Linked DNA regions of Oreochromis niloticus. The protein of the gene in region 2 purifies or fractionates together with the protein of the main gene of each other region. This does not show direct contact. Links are inferred from orthologs where the notes say so. Each region holds a gene or a part of one and is shown on either strand. Other genes may lie near its edges.

Region 1 (7,607 bases), on a different chromosome or scaffold from region 2:
TTTTGTCACGTCACTTCATCAGCTGCAGAAACTGAAATTGTGGTTATTTTGTTTTAACAATGACAAATACCCCTACCAAAAACCTAAATATTCAAATACCAGTGTTTTTGTATATTAAAACAAAACTAAAAAGTGGAGAACAAAGCACTGGGTAAAGTACATTTATAGAATGAAATCTGTCTTCAATTATGTCCTGCAAGAACCAGCTGTTGTCATGTTGTCACAGAAATGTAGAACTCTACTGCCCTCTTGTGGTTTAGACACATGCAAATAAATTCTCACATGAAAGTGACCAAATTAACCCAAACACACTGACTTTTTTTTTTTTTTTTTTTTTTAAAATACTTGCATCTGTAGATTCACTGAATGAACTACTGTATTAGCCCTATGAGTTCTGGAAGTTTGAAAACAAGATCTACCAGCAGGCACAAAGACATAAGGGAGAAACATCACAAAAAAGCAAAAATGCCATCTCTGGCTGTGTTTGACCCTCATTGTTTATTCTTACCAGTAGATCTGTCAAAACAGAATGAACACACCCAGCCACACTCTAATACACAAACACACGCGCTTCAATCAAAAACAGCACTGAAAAGACAGTTTTTTTCCCCCATCTGCTGAAAAACTGTGGTCAAAAAAGAAAAAAAAAAAAAAAAGAAAAGAAATAAAAGTCCCTTTACCTTTTAACCTTTTGCATAAACATGCGAGTAGAATTAGTATAATATGTTTCTGTTACTTGTAGACTTCACAGAGTGAAGTTTGTTGTCTGCTGGCAATAGGTAGCCACCTAGTGGTTAGACCCTCTCATAACATCAAGTATTGACAATGCAGAATTTTTAAATCACAGGTTCGGATGTTTTGTTGCTAGATGACACTTTGTCATTGATAAACAAACAGCTTAAACATAGTTTAGCAGATACCTAACAAACTATCCAGTCTACAGACTCAGCTGGGGGGAGGGGAAGATAAGTGATTATCACACCAGAAACACAGTATTACTCCTAAATCAAACAGTACAATATGTTTTTTTTTTTGTAACCATATTGCGTGATTTATTTTCAGAATAATAAACCTATATATTCATAGTTACGATACCAGTTCCCTATGAAAAATAATTACCCATAGTAAGTCAGTACCACCATCCCCATTCTAGATGAATGATGACACTGTGTGTTTCTGTCTTTTCAAGACCATCATCCCTTCATTTCACTGGATTCCCTCCACCGGTGAATTGTTTTTCACACTTCAGTGGTCCATAAGGGAGCGCTGTAAAGCCTCCTGAATCATTGTGTGCTCATCTGTGGAATAATCCTGGGAGGTCGTAAGCATGAGAAGTGGAAGAAAAAAAAAGTCACTTAAATTCTTATTAACATAAAAAACAAACAAACAAATAAACAGAGAGTGCTTTACTTACAACAAATGTATCATAGGAGAAAGTGTGTCTGATCTTCAGGTGCTGGAAAAAGTCAGCACTCCTGTAATTAGGATCCCCCCAAGGCATCGAGGCACAGATGGGGCACACCTAAAGAAAACATGAAGGTAATAAAACGATCTTTGAAACACATTATTAACCCAGCTGAAGCCAGTAAGTGTGTGGAAACTCAGTATGACTCAGAATTATGACAGAGTAGACTTTTTTTTTTTACCACTTGGCGTGCATCTCGAGCATGTTGGGAAGTGCAATGTTCAACCAGGCCGTCCTGGTCGAGGTTCTGGCAGTTACAGTAGGGGCAGGTGAAGGTGTAGCGATTTGGCACTGAACTGTGGCAGAAGAGAAACAATAAAATGTCACAAGGTTTGGTTCTCAACTACATGAATATTGCACTTGAAGTGCAACAGGCATCAGCTTATGAAGAAATAATTTACCACAGTTAGTGGCCAATCTTTATCTTTTGTCACATCAACTTTTCACCAGCTGAAAGAGCTTGAGAAAGGCTTAAAAGTGACAGTTATTCTTTTTTCTTTTTTATAACAGGAATCCGTTTCCTGGCACAAACATCTGGAGGGTTAAATAACAAAATAAATAAATACCAGGATCGGTTTCTTACTTTAAACAGTGTTGGCCCAACATGCCACAATGTGTGGATTCTTTGTTTTAAAGGCTGCTGTTTGGGTGGAAAAAAACAAAACAAAAACCCCCCACTAAAGACTACTTCCTGATTAGTCATAATAACCTCATTACAAGCGACGGCTTCTCAAACCATCTTCTCGGAACTTTCTCCAGGAAGTACAGCTGTCATAAATACTTAACATCCAAATATGATAAAAACCAGATCCACTTCATACAACTTGACAATAACAGTGTTTTATGTTTTCTAAAGATAAAAGTTGTACTGTTTTCTATACACTCTGGAAAAATCATGATTGGAAATTACAACAGGTAAAATACAGAATACTTAGCATAAGCTTGATCACACTTTATAATACTATTTTACTTGCAATCAGATTGTGTTTAATTTGAAATCCTATTTGTGCTAAAACTTCCATTTACTTTTTTTAACTTTAAGTGTAAAATGTATACACTACATATAGTTCACATGACAGATTGACCGCAAAAACAGAGCATTTCATTTTTGACTGACATGTTAGGCATGTCAGTGAAACAAGGCAGTAATGGAGCCACGACTTTGGAGTCTTATCAAACAACAATGTACTGCCAAGAGTTTATAATACTATAAACAGGGAATTTTATATCACAAGAAGATATTATTCCATCATTTGTCACAACAGGTCAACTGTTTAAATTTGGCACTTAAGTTACAGTGAAATCTATCATAAATCTATCATTGCATACATTTGATTGGGCCAACAGAACTCCATTTCCTATGTACAGTACTCTCTGCTCTGTGAATGAAGCCCTCTCACTGACTCTACTGACAGGGCTGCACTCATTTCCTTTTTCACTTTGGATTGGTGTTAGTCCAAAGGTGACCTTTAATTTATACAACCCAACAAGCAGCAGTGATTGCACGCAAAGTCTGACTCTACAGTGTAAACCATTTTGCTTTTCTTATGTAGGGAATAGCAAATAATTGTTCTGCTTCTTTCCCCACCTGACGATGGCAGGCTGGCTCTGGGCAGTTGTCCTGACTCCCTCCTCAATGTACTCCTGGTATTTTGAACAGGCAGCTGTGTGGCTTCTCATCTTAGAAAGCCCAACCTAATTGGGGGAGGAGTGACACATATCAGTAACTTCCAGTATATGACCATCATCATAAAATTGTTGCTATTATCTAAATATAAAGACAGAAATTTAGACACAGCAAAATATTAAGATTATGCATGTGCAGTTATTGAATATTCACCCTCTGTGACTGCTTCATAAATGTGAGTCAGTTCAGCAATATTTTAGCTTTTGGACTTTAGTGAAACATACCTGTGTGCCACATCCCTTACAGGCTGCCACAGAAGATTGAATGAGTGCCTCGAGTTGAGCAGCTCTAGTCCAGTGGCCTGGAGCGCCTCGACATACAGCACACACAGGTTTCTGTGGACGCAGACATTCCTGCAAACAACTGTGGCAAAACCTGTCAAGAGATGGGTGAAATAATGTGACTGCTGCACAAGATAAATCAACTAAATTGTCACTTTTAATTTGGGCTCTGGTAACCTGAGGCTTTAAAAAAAAAATTATTAAAAAACAAGACAAAAACATGCAGCAACTCTGTTTACATTAACGCATGGCCTGCAATGAGAAAAAAACCCCAAATGCTGTCACTAAAACAAACCTTTATTATGCTAGTGACTGGACCTTCCTGTAACTCATATGGAAAGTCCCCCACCTCGAGAATAGCCAGGGACTTGTAGTTCTTTAAAGTGGTTTGAAGAGTTAGAGCAATACACATCCAAACTACAACTCCCAAGTGAGGCCTCCTTTTTGATGTAAACAAAACTGAAACTGATTTAGCAAGCTGGAACTGTTTTTGTCACATATTCGAGAGAGAAAAATAGAAAAAACGGGGTCGTAGCACTAGAAGACACTCGCGAGGCCGATATTTTGCAACTCTGGTGCGACGACATATTTAAAGTGAAGCCCTTTCCTCCATTGTTTTTGCCTCTTTTCACTGCATCGTTGGTGGCAGACGAGGGTTAGGGGGAGGGCGATGGAAAATAAACGGCAAAAATACTCACGTATGTCCACACTGTGTTGTCACGGGACTGTCGAATATTTCGAGGCAAACTGGACAGACGAATTCGGACACGTCGTTGCTCCCGTCCGAGGCGTTCTTCTTGTGAGGTGCTGCGCTAAAGCCTCCGAGCATCGCCATTTCTTTTCTTCACTGAGTCGGTTCCACCACCAGCACCAACCGTCCCCGTGACGACGTCATCGGGTTCTTGTTCTTTTTTAAGCGCGAGGGGGCGGGGTCACCGGCGAAAGTAAACATCGTAACACATAATTGTACGACATACTTACTAAATCTGTGACACCCCCCCCTCCCACTAGATATCGAAACCCCCCAGAGACATTCAAAATATTACAATATATAGTTATTCAAATAAATCTGAATTATTCGGGCACTAATACAACGAAAAAGCAGGAAATCCACACCACTAAATGTATACCTTCGGCAAATCATTATGAACCCGGGAAATCTGTCTCTGCGCGCACGCGAGCCTATATGTATATATATATTTTTTTACCCATGCAAAACAAAAACAAAAATGAATGAAGACTGGGGATGATGTATTTGGGGGTCTGTATCCCGTCTTCCCTAGCACGTGGGCTCCTGATGCTGATGAACTGTCAGGATTGAGCGCATGCGTGTTGTTATACTGGGAATTTCCAACAGCTGAGGAGGCGTAGCTAGCCATGACTAGCACTTGTTAAAGGTAAGATTTGCGAATGCTGTTATTTTTGTTTGAACAAACGTCTTGATCTCCTAGTGGGAGCCCATTAACATTTGATCCCAAAAGAACATCACCTTAAAAATTCGCTGTGTCTTGTTATTTTATTTTAAACTGGCGAATAATGTCTGTGTAGCGATGGAACGCCCTGCTAACCAAAAGCAATTGTTAGCTAGCCAGCTACGCTGAAATGGGCGTTCACTGTTTAGCTTCTACTCAGTAGGGAGGCCATAGCAGTGGCAGCATCGGGTTTGAGAGTCATGAAGAATTAATGTATACGTTCTAGGAGTATTACTTTATATTGCCATTGGTCACGGTGGACTAAATTTGTTGTAGTAGATACGCAGTTGTAAAGCATGCGTCTGGCTAAGGCTCATTGGTTGCTAGCTCGTTGAGCGGATGTTCGCAGAGATTTTCAGGTAACAGGTATAGCCAGCCAGCCAGCTTGCAAGAATCTGAGAGCGAAATGTTTGCTCTCCTGTTGTTCAAGCCTCGTACTATTTTCACGATGTGTTTATGAGTTTTGAGTTGAAGCTAAGCTAGGCTAGGTTAGCGCCACTCTGGTTTACACGCATGTAGTACCAATAGCTGAAACGTTCACTGGCGCAAACGTGTGAGAGGGATGTATACATCAGTAATGAGTTCCTCTCTTGCTTATTTAAGCTATAATTCCACTGGCCTTTTTCTTGGTTATGTACATTGTAAAACAAACAATTTTTTAAAAAAAAAAGCCCTTTCACTATGTGATAGACAAAAAACCCACCCACCCAAACGAATCCATCTTCACATCTCTGAGTACAGAGATGGTCCTGGATTAGTGTATCTTCCCTCTTATCTGAACCTCTAGATATTTCAAAACATGCTTAACCACAGTTAAATTGCATTTTCATTTAGCTAGAAACCGAAAATGATATTTTTTATCTTAACAGCTATTGCTTGTGTCATTTCAGCTTGGACATGGCTGATAACAACCCCAAGATCATGAATCTGTCTTCTTGATGAGTGACCTTGAACTCTACCAATGCTAAAACCAAGCAATGGAATAGATGCAAGTCTGTGTGCCAAGGAAAACCTCCCCCCTGACGTTATCTTGCATGACAGAGGCCTGTTTTTCTGGAAACAAGTCAGGCTTTGAGCCAAAGCCAGAGATGCTCATACCAAGGCATCCTTATGGGCTACAGCCTTGCTACACCAACTGAAAGCACTAGAAAACTGCATCTCTTGCTTAGAGGATGTGCTACTGAGTGGATGCAAAGATTGACTCCTCTGTCATCTCTCCACGACATTAACATTTAGTGTATACGGTTTAAAGAATGGTAACCAAAAATGGTGTCTGAATGTGGCATTTTGTGGTTGGGCATGCTAAAAGGTGTGAGGCTCTCTCAGAAAATTATAACAGCTGACTAATAGTCTGCTGCTAATAATGGATGCCAAGTTAAAAGAGGACCTGTTCCGGAGGTATGTGACAGCACTGGAGAAGCGCCTGGAGGAAGGAGGGGATAACAGGGGGACTGGAAGTACGCAAGAAGGGGAAAGAAGCAGACACAAGGACAGTGAGGCCCTACTTTCCACAGCCACAGCTCTGCTAGGAGCCTATCAGCCAGATCCGGCACAGCGATTTCGCATGGTGCGTTTCTATGAGGTAGTGGAGAACTCCCTCCGCTCCCAGAGAGGAGTCAACCTGAAGGGCCTCGAGAGAGCCTTCCATACCCTGGAAACCATCTGCACCAACCTCCTGCTCTTCCCTTGGAAGAAGGAATTCAGATGTATAAAGGTGAGTTTATTTCATTGATGGGATATTTAATATATTTTGCTTAGATTAGTTTACTCTAATAGCCAAAATTTCACTATTAATACATTTGTTATATCAGAATTAATCATTATTGTCCAGTCCTGAGCTTTGAGATACTGAGCTTTGGCAATTGATCAGGGCAGTGTGTGTGTACACCGAAATACTTTTGTGAATTTGCATATCTTTCAGACTGTCTTTTGCAGGCAATATATATGAATATCTTTCCTGACCTTTAGTGTGGAAGCAAGACTTTTACGTTTGTGTACACATTCTCAGTCTTTATGCAGATATCAGATATCTGCATAATCTTAAGAGATTATTTTAACTTAATTACTTGTTGTCTAATCTTAATACCATAAAGTGGGTATACAAACAAAAGTTTGATCTCCCCTGTCTCATAAACTGCTTGACATGTTTTTTAGTAAATTAATATCTAAAAGTAAGAAAATTTTTCTGAAACTATTAAAATTTGTATAGACTTGTAATTTTAGTGAACACGCGTGCAAAGAGGACCTTGTTATTATGGTTGCTTCTGCTCAGTTCTGCTTGGTGAATAAGTGAGAAATTAAAAGGAAAGCTGTAACTCTTGACACTTCAGTGTTCCACTGCCTCTGTTTTGCTTTGGGGATTTATGTTGCTGGCATTCTTTGGCTCTCCTTGTCTTCTTAGAGGGAAAGCACCGCAAATCAATACGAAGTTGTTTGGTGTGAAACATTTCTAACCTAATAGGAGAGGGAAATGTCCTTGCACACAGAGCCGAAACCGTTATGAATTATCTTATGGCGTTCACCCTCACAAGATATCAAGTTAACTGAATGTCTATGGGAAATTTCTGTACATGTTAGACAGCCTTCTGCCATCATTATCAACCCCCCAAAAGAGGACCAAAAATAGTTGTCCCCACTTCTGGTTTTCTAAAACACTTTTTTTTTTTTTCGCTTGACTCTATCAGCCAATTTTATCTAGAACT
Region 2 (7,729 bases):
TCAGCGTTATATTTACATAAACTGTCATCATCTCACCGCTTTTAAACCAAGTGAATTGAAACAGAAGTTGTCAAGATGTGGCATCATCACTGTAAATGCAATATAAATGTGAATATTTAGCTTTTCATTTAGCTTCTGCAGCACTACTGTGTACCCTCAACAGTCATCAATACATCTTAAAAAAATCTTCAAAAAAGCTTTTTTATTGTTAACTATGCTATTTTTGTTATACATTATTTCCAAAAATAGCAACAGTTCAAGAATTCACCAGTGCTTTTGTGTAAGGCGAGGATCTGGGGATCTTTTTCCCTCCCAGTACGTAGGTAAGACTACTGAGCTTAAAATAGCAAATAAATGACACTTACACAATTAGACTGACAAAACTACATTCTTATCTATAGTCAGTTTGTAACACAACTAAAAAATGCTTGAGCACTTTCACTAATCAGGGCCATGAGATGTAAGCGGAAATGGTGGTACTTCTGTAACTTATTAAGTAAGTTATTGTGAAGAATAAGTGTTTTATTTGCTGGAATCATTTGCAGCAGTTTCCAGTTAGCCATCATGTCAAAAAAAAGTTGCGTGAGTCAAGCAAAAATCACCTGGTTTCAAACAGGACTCAAGAAACTGTTCCTGTTTTTTTGTTATTCCTATTTAGTTTTCAGTTCTTTACACAGACATAGACATAATAACTGGTTTTCAAGATTTTTTAAGGTCATGCTAAAAAGTAATACACTGGTTTTAGTGATTATTTTACTTAAATATTTGTCTCATATTAATTAGATCGAGAATGAAGCTGAAATAAAACCTTTTTTTAAGCTTGAAATGTTCTCATTTAAATTGTTAATTTTTTTTACATTTAAACAATTTTGCCAGTCCTTTAAATTTTATTTAAACTATAGTGGTCATCTCATTTTTAATGAACAGATCAAAAATCAAATTAAGAATCTACATAGATACCATGTTTTTACAAAAATGAGAATAAAACTGAAAGAGATCTCACCAGAAGTTCCACTCCAAACCAGATTCCAGACAGCGCTCTATCAGGAAGCAGTGAGCCTTTGAAGCGGACCACACCAGGTAGAGGTTCATCCCCTGAGCGCAGCTGGACGCGCACCTTGGAACCACAGTCAATATCACGGACACGCTCTAGCCGTGACTTGTTGCAGAGTAGCGCATACCGTTCCTCACAGTTAGTAATGGGAAAGAGCAATTCAGCCAGCTTCTCATCCAGCTCCAAGACGTCCCGCTCATCCAGGCTCAAAACCACGTTGGTTTGGTCCAGAATACGGAGACTTTTCTTTCCCTTGCATGGGGGCAGCGTTCTTCCTAGGCTGTTGCGCTCCTGACAGGCCTGGCCGAGACTGCCACGGGGAATCCTCAGGGTCTTCTGGGGAGGCTTCTCCACTGTACACTCCTTCACAACCATGTAGAACCGCCAGTCCTCCCTGAAGCCCCCACTGGGCTTCTCCTGGCTCCACAGGGCAGAGCTCATGTCTGCATGCTAGGCAGAAGCTCCAATGTCAAGGCAACCTTGACCTGTGGTCTAAGAAGAAACGAAAAAAATTAGGAAAAACCCCCCACCCAGAACACTTAAGGTTTGACCTAATAAGTGAAAGTGATGAGCTTACATTTCTGCAATGTAAATTAATGTGGTTAGACAGCTGCGGTTATGTGCTTTGATACCACAATAAGTTAAGCATTAATATAATTCATAACATTAACAATATTTCTACTCTAGCCCTTCCAAAGCACAAATCAGAACTGAACTAACAAGCACAACTGCTCATTCTGTCTAAAAGTACACTTGAGCAAAAAACAAACAAACAAAAAAACACACATTGGAACAGTTTCATTAATTAGATGCAAATAGATGTGTGATGAGCCATACTGAAATTAACCACGGCAAAACTCTGGTAAAACAGTCTTAACTGCACTGAGAGTTTAGAAAATCTCTGCTCCAGTTCGCTTGTTTTGGTTTCTTCTGAGAGATTGTTGTGCTCTTGTGTATTCTCCCTCATCTACATTCAGTAGACCAGTGATTTCTTTTTGAAAAATCAGCACTTTGTGTAACATTACTCATTGCTACTTATTTCAATTTTCTAAAAATAGAGAGTAAGCAGACAGTTGACTTATTCTGACACTCTGGGTAAGACAGATACCAGTCGTGTGGATTTCCCCTGATCACACCTCAGATATGATTTTTCAAACACCCGACAGAGTCAAGAGCACACAATACTTCTACATCCGTCAATTGTTTCAAACACGACAGCAGCTGCTGAACTGCGACATTTACTCCATCAATACGCTGTTGTTTTTAACAGCCTGAGTACCGTTAGATCATTTTTACAAGATTTTTTAAGGCTAACGCCATACATGGCTAAAGCCCAACACAGGTTGAAAATGAAAGTAATTTCAAACTGACACGCGCTGACCTGCTGTGACATTGAGTTAGCGGGGTCTTTCAGGTGACACCTACAAAGCGATACTATGACTTGCTTTAATCAACATTTTCCTTTGACAACATCAGCAGCGTGTCGCCGGGCAGAAGCTGTCAGTCAAAGGCCCTTTAAGAGAGGAAAGTGGCTAACGTACAGTGAGCTAAAATGCACCAGACAGTCATTTACGTCCAGTGCCAACAACACGGACACCTTACCTTTGATATGCGTGAATTCGGTTAGTGGCTACAAATGGCTGTCATTTCGAAGTCCATTCCAGTTAGACAAATGCTTCTGAAAACAGGTTAGACTGCTCTCGTAATAACCTCTGATTAGCTAAATGGACAGCTAATGCTACAATCCTAACCAGCTAAGTATCACGCTAAAGTTAGCCTAGCGAGCCGGTCAACAGCAACAAGGCTGGCAGAAGACTGCCACCTTCCTAAGTTTGCTAAAAACATTTAAATACATCTATTCTCCATGAGAAATATGTGAAATAATACAGTGTATCGCTACATCTATGAGATATATTATTTACAGGAGACGACCTCACTAAACTTAATGTATGACGTCCTCGTGCTCGCTGACAGACATTGGTTAGTCGTTTCTTTCTAAAACGCTGATTCGCTGTTTGTTTTGTCAATAACCAAGTCCCACTTTCTGGGGTTTTCCCACGGACGGCAGAAAGCGTAGTTAGGTTGGAGTGCGGCTTCCAAGGCAGATGATGCTCATCAGCTGCAGGCAGTTCAGAAATATTTATTCAAATAGAAGCAATTTTACACTATAATTATGAAATTAAAGAATGGGTATAAAATAAAATATGGCCTAAGAGTAAGAAGATTGATATTATTAATAGTAACATGTACTTAAGTATAAAATTGTTGGAGATCTGTCTGTGAAGGTTCTCAGTCTCAAATGCTGGAGATCATTTGTAATTTTCTCAGTATAACCAAACGGGTTCGTTATATGTTCTAAAATTTAAAGTGTCAAAGTTTTCCGAGACAATACAGCCTCCCCAAGTGGTCCAGTGAAATTTCTTCTTCTTGTTCTTTGGGCTGCACCCTTTAGGGCAGGGGTCGGCAACCCGCGGCTCCGGAGCCGCATGCGGCTCTTTTGTCCTTATACTGCGGCTCCGCGTGGTTTGGGAAAATAAATTAGAAGTATTTAGCTGAAGTGTATTTTATTTATGTTAGTTCTTTTTAACTCGTAGTTCTAAATTGGAAGATTGTTGTGATTTTGAAATATAAAAATAAAATTATATTCTATTATTTTTTTCATCGCTCAAAATAAGAGTCACACTCGCGGAAGCCGGTATACCCGCCGAAACGCCGTGCATTTATCGAGACTTTCAACCCCAGGTAGGTCAATTATGGATCTTCGGATCCACATTATGTCAGCAGCTGTTCTCCACCGTGAACTATGATAAAGACAAACACCGTGAGTAAACTGACTTCGTATATCCCCGATTTGCGGACTCTGTGCACAGAGGTTCAGGAGCAGAAGTCCCATTGTAAACATATCACGGCAGACCCGACGATGTTTCCATGAACACGCTTTTGAGCACCTCTTTATTGAGCACTTTTCACACACGGTTGCTGTACGCATACAGCCGGCTGTAGCTTTTCAGCTCACAGCCCGACATAGACCACCAACAACACAACAGCACAGATAGCGCAGACGTAAAGGCGGCGAGGCGTGATTGCGGGTGTCGCTCAGGTGCGTCCGCCTCCCCTGCAGCGGCGCTGCAAACCACGCCCCGCCGCACGCGTTAACCAGGTAAAATACATATTTAGGCAGAATTTTGCAAATATCTATTTTTCATTTTTCAGCAGCATAGTGCTTTTTTCCAATTATTTTTTAAGAGTCAGGTCAAGGCTCCAACAGCCCAAAGGCGATATAAGGGTGGCAGCTGACAACAGTTTTTGTTTGCTACGTGGATCATTTTAGTTCAGCTGGGTGTCTTTCCTTTTGTTATATTTCTTTAAGAGTTCAAAATGTGTTAATTACGTAAATAAAATGTAATTTTCTCTGTAGCACTTCATGGATTTCATAAGCAACACACCTTAGTTGTTCACACAAAGCACAAAGGTAAAAAACAATATATACAGTGTTATCTTCATTTTAGATGTCAAAAAGTATTTGCGGCTCCCAGTGTTTTCTTTTGCGTGGAAACCGGGTCCAAGTGGCTCTTTGGGTGTAAAAGGTTGCAGACCCCTGCTTTAGGGGTTCTCACAGTGGATCATCTGGCTCCATCTTACCTTATCCCTTGCATCTTGCTCTGTCACACACAACTCTCTGCATGTCCTCCTTCTATACATCCATGAATCTTCTCCTTAGTCTTCTTTTTTTACTCCTGCTTGACAGCTCCATCTTTGACATCCTTTGCACATGTTCAAACCTTTGCTCTTTAACTTTTTATCTAAACTGGTCAACCCTGTGCTGTCCCTCTGACCTACTAATTTCTAATCTTGTCCATTCTGTTCTCCCCCAATGAAAATCTTAACATCTTCAGCTCTGCCCTCTGCCTTTTTGTTATTGCCACCATCTCCAAACCATACATAATAGCAGGTCTCACTATCACTTCGTAAATCGTCCCTTTCATTCTTGCTACTATCGCTCACACCGACTCTCATCTCCACCCACTCCAGCCTGCATACGCTTTTTTCTCCATTTCTCTTGTGCACTGTGCATTTCTTTGAATGGTGGACCCCAGCTATTTAAACTCATCTATCTTCAGTATCTCTGCTCCTAGCATCTTCATATTTACACGTCTCTCTCTCATTCACACACAAATTCTATCTTACTTCTACTTCAACCTGTGTTGTTTTTAAATGTGCTTATGAATAAATTGATTGATTGATTGATTGATTGATTGATTGCCACCCCAACCTTAAACACATCTACCGCACACCTCATTAGTGTCTTATTGTCCTCATACATACTTCTTGGCCACTGCTGACTTTCTCATACAGTACCACAGCTCTTGGCACCCTATCATATGCTTTCTCTTATCAAGTTTGTTCAGTATGTGACCTAAATCTACATTTCTTTTTTCAGCATCTTCTATAAGACAAAGGGGGAATGATGTGCTGCTGCAATTTCAAGTGTTTGCACTACTGTCTGGGGACTATGTTCATGAAACAGTAACCAAAATAAGATACAACTCTTAGATCATACCATTAAAGATATTTTGCTTATCATGTCATCTTAGGGTGAAAAGCATGTCTCAGTTGCAAGATCAGTAGTTCGAGCTCCAGTTATGGCTTTTTTTTATATTCATTGCTTTTTGGACTTTCTACTTGTTGCTATATTTCTAAAATATAGAATTACTCAAACAGTTTCAACTATTATTATTCACAGTATTGTGCCCATTGATTTTTTAAAGAAAATGACTAACCTATACAGCATGACTACTTTTGTTTGTACAATTAGTAAAAGCTCAACTCTCTGAGGCAGATTTCTTGTAGTTTCTTTAAGCAGTCTTCTGGAATAATTCTCCAGGCTTCTTGAAGGACATTTAAAGCTCTTCTTTGGACGTTGGCTGCCTTTTGTTCAATTCTGTGTCAAGATGATCCCTCAATGCTTCAGTAGTGTTGATGTCTGGGCTCTGGGAAGGCCAATCCATGACTGGTGTTCCATTCTGTGTTATTCTATCTAGGTATGCTTTTACTGCACTGGCAATGTGCTTGGAATCATTGGCGTGTGATCACTGCAATACATTATTTTAAATCTGACAGTATTTTTCTGTTTTCAAAATTTCATCATTTTTGACAAGATGCCCAAAATCACTGGTTCAAATGCAGCTGTCTCTGAAACACAGCTTTCGCAAAGGTTTACAGATGGCTGTAGAGATTCACTGTTATACCTTTTTCCCTCCCTATCACTCTTCATTAGGGCTGCCACGATTAGTCGACTAGTCACGATTACGTCGACTATTAAAATCGTCGACGACTAATTTAATAGTCGACGCGTCGTTTGAAGCTTTGTAAGATCCCAAAAGACGCAGGAATAAGTAGTAGTATTTAAGAGTGTAATAACGGACTGAAACAGAAGATGGCAGCACTGCATGTACAAGGATGCCAGCTGCCGTTAAACCCCGAAGAAGAAGAAACTGTGTTCCAGAATTCATAGCGCGGCCCAGCGCAGTTGTCAACAATGGCGGCAGCTAGTTAGTTTTAATATTACAATTATTATTCTTTCTGGGTCACAAAATAAACGTTTAACATATTTTCAGGTGTACATTTTACGTCCAATGGATGCATGATCTGATTAGTCGACTAATCGCAAAAATAATCGGTGACTAGTCGACTATCAAAATAATCGTTTGTGGCAGCCCTACTCTTCATGCATATATATTGTTGCTGATTTGAACTAAAAAAAAAAATGCATTTGTATTGACTAGTCCACAAGTACTTGAGCTGCATTTATTCAATCAGGATTAACTGCAGAATGGGAATTTTCTTTGTATAGGATGTTTTTTTAATTACACATCTGCTTAATGAGCATTATATTAAAAGACAGAAAATAGAAACCAGTTTACACACATGACAAAAACAGGTAACATAGACAGCAAAAATATAGTATATAGTGTAAAACAGAATACACCCAATTTCCATCAAACATTCCACAGAGTTGTAAACTCATTCCTAAAGCAAACAACCAGAAAAGAAACATACAACAAAATGTGCTCTATAAACTTTTCTGCTGTGATAAGTTTTAATAAACAAAAATTGAAACTTGTAATGTCAGTAATTTCTACTTTTAACTTGCACAACAAGGACTTTGAGAATACTCGTTTGGACTGTAAGAATACTCTTTGTAAATCTCCCAGACATTTAAGCTCAGTATAGTAAAAACATACATCTGATCTGATACAGAAAATTGATTTTCTTTTTTTTCCACTCCAAAACAACATATTTGCCTCTGCCCTTCTCTGCAAACTTCAAATGTAACCTTTTTTGTAACCCTTAAGACAATGTAACTGTACATGTGTAGTTGTTTCTGACTGAAGGATATGAAGGTGTTACAACTCTTCCATAACGGTAACCACAGACTATACAGTCTTACATTCTGTAGTAAAATGTCACACCTCTTTCCACTAACTACAACAAAATAAAATAAAGAAACAAAAAATAAAAATAACACTTCTGCTGTTACTATGAGTAGTAGAAGTTGTGTTGGTGATGTAAAAGGTAGTATTTGTTATGGTATAAAGCAATGCCACACCACTTCCACCTATAAAAACCCAATAAAGAGGTGTATGTATTTTGCAACCTTGAAAAAACACTGAT

What was found.
Region 1: the proteins of cyld (region 2) and spata2 purify together in Homo sapiens (affinity purification with western blotting; 10 studies listed by BioGRID and IntAct, with this or other methods). This does not show direct contact. The link is inferred for Oreochromis niloticus from reciprocal best matches to the Homo sapiens genes CYLD and SPATA2.

Annotation. Positions count from the first base shown.
Region 1 is NC_031984.2:16,328,989-16,336,595, reverse strand, and holds the start of spata2 (spermatogenesis-associated protein 2), read left to right. Parts: upstream 1-4,566; 5' UTR 4,567-4,830; intron 4,831-4,958; exon of another isoform or gene 4,959-5,264; intron 5,265-5,795; 5' UTR 5,796-6,268; coding exon 6,269-6,619; intron 6,620-7,607. Other genes in the region: E3 ubiquitin-protein ligase RNF114, read right to left, coding at 1,246-1,311, 1,415-1,522, 1,647-1,761, 3,054-3,160, 3,377-3,527, 4,132-4,268.
Region 2 is NC_031965.2:31,474,625-31,482,353, forward strand, and holds the start of cyld (ubiquitin carboxyl-terminal hydrolase CYLD), read right to left. Parts: upstream 3,021-7,729; 5' UTR 2,657-3,020; intron 1,547-2,656; 5' UTR 1,496-1,546; coding exon 1,004-1,495; intron 1-1,003. UniProt on the Homo sapiens protein: Deubiquitinase that specifically cleaves 'Lys-63'- and linear 'Met-1'-linked polyubiquitin chains and is involved in NF-kappa-B activation and TNF-alpha-induced necroptosis.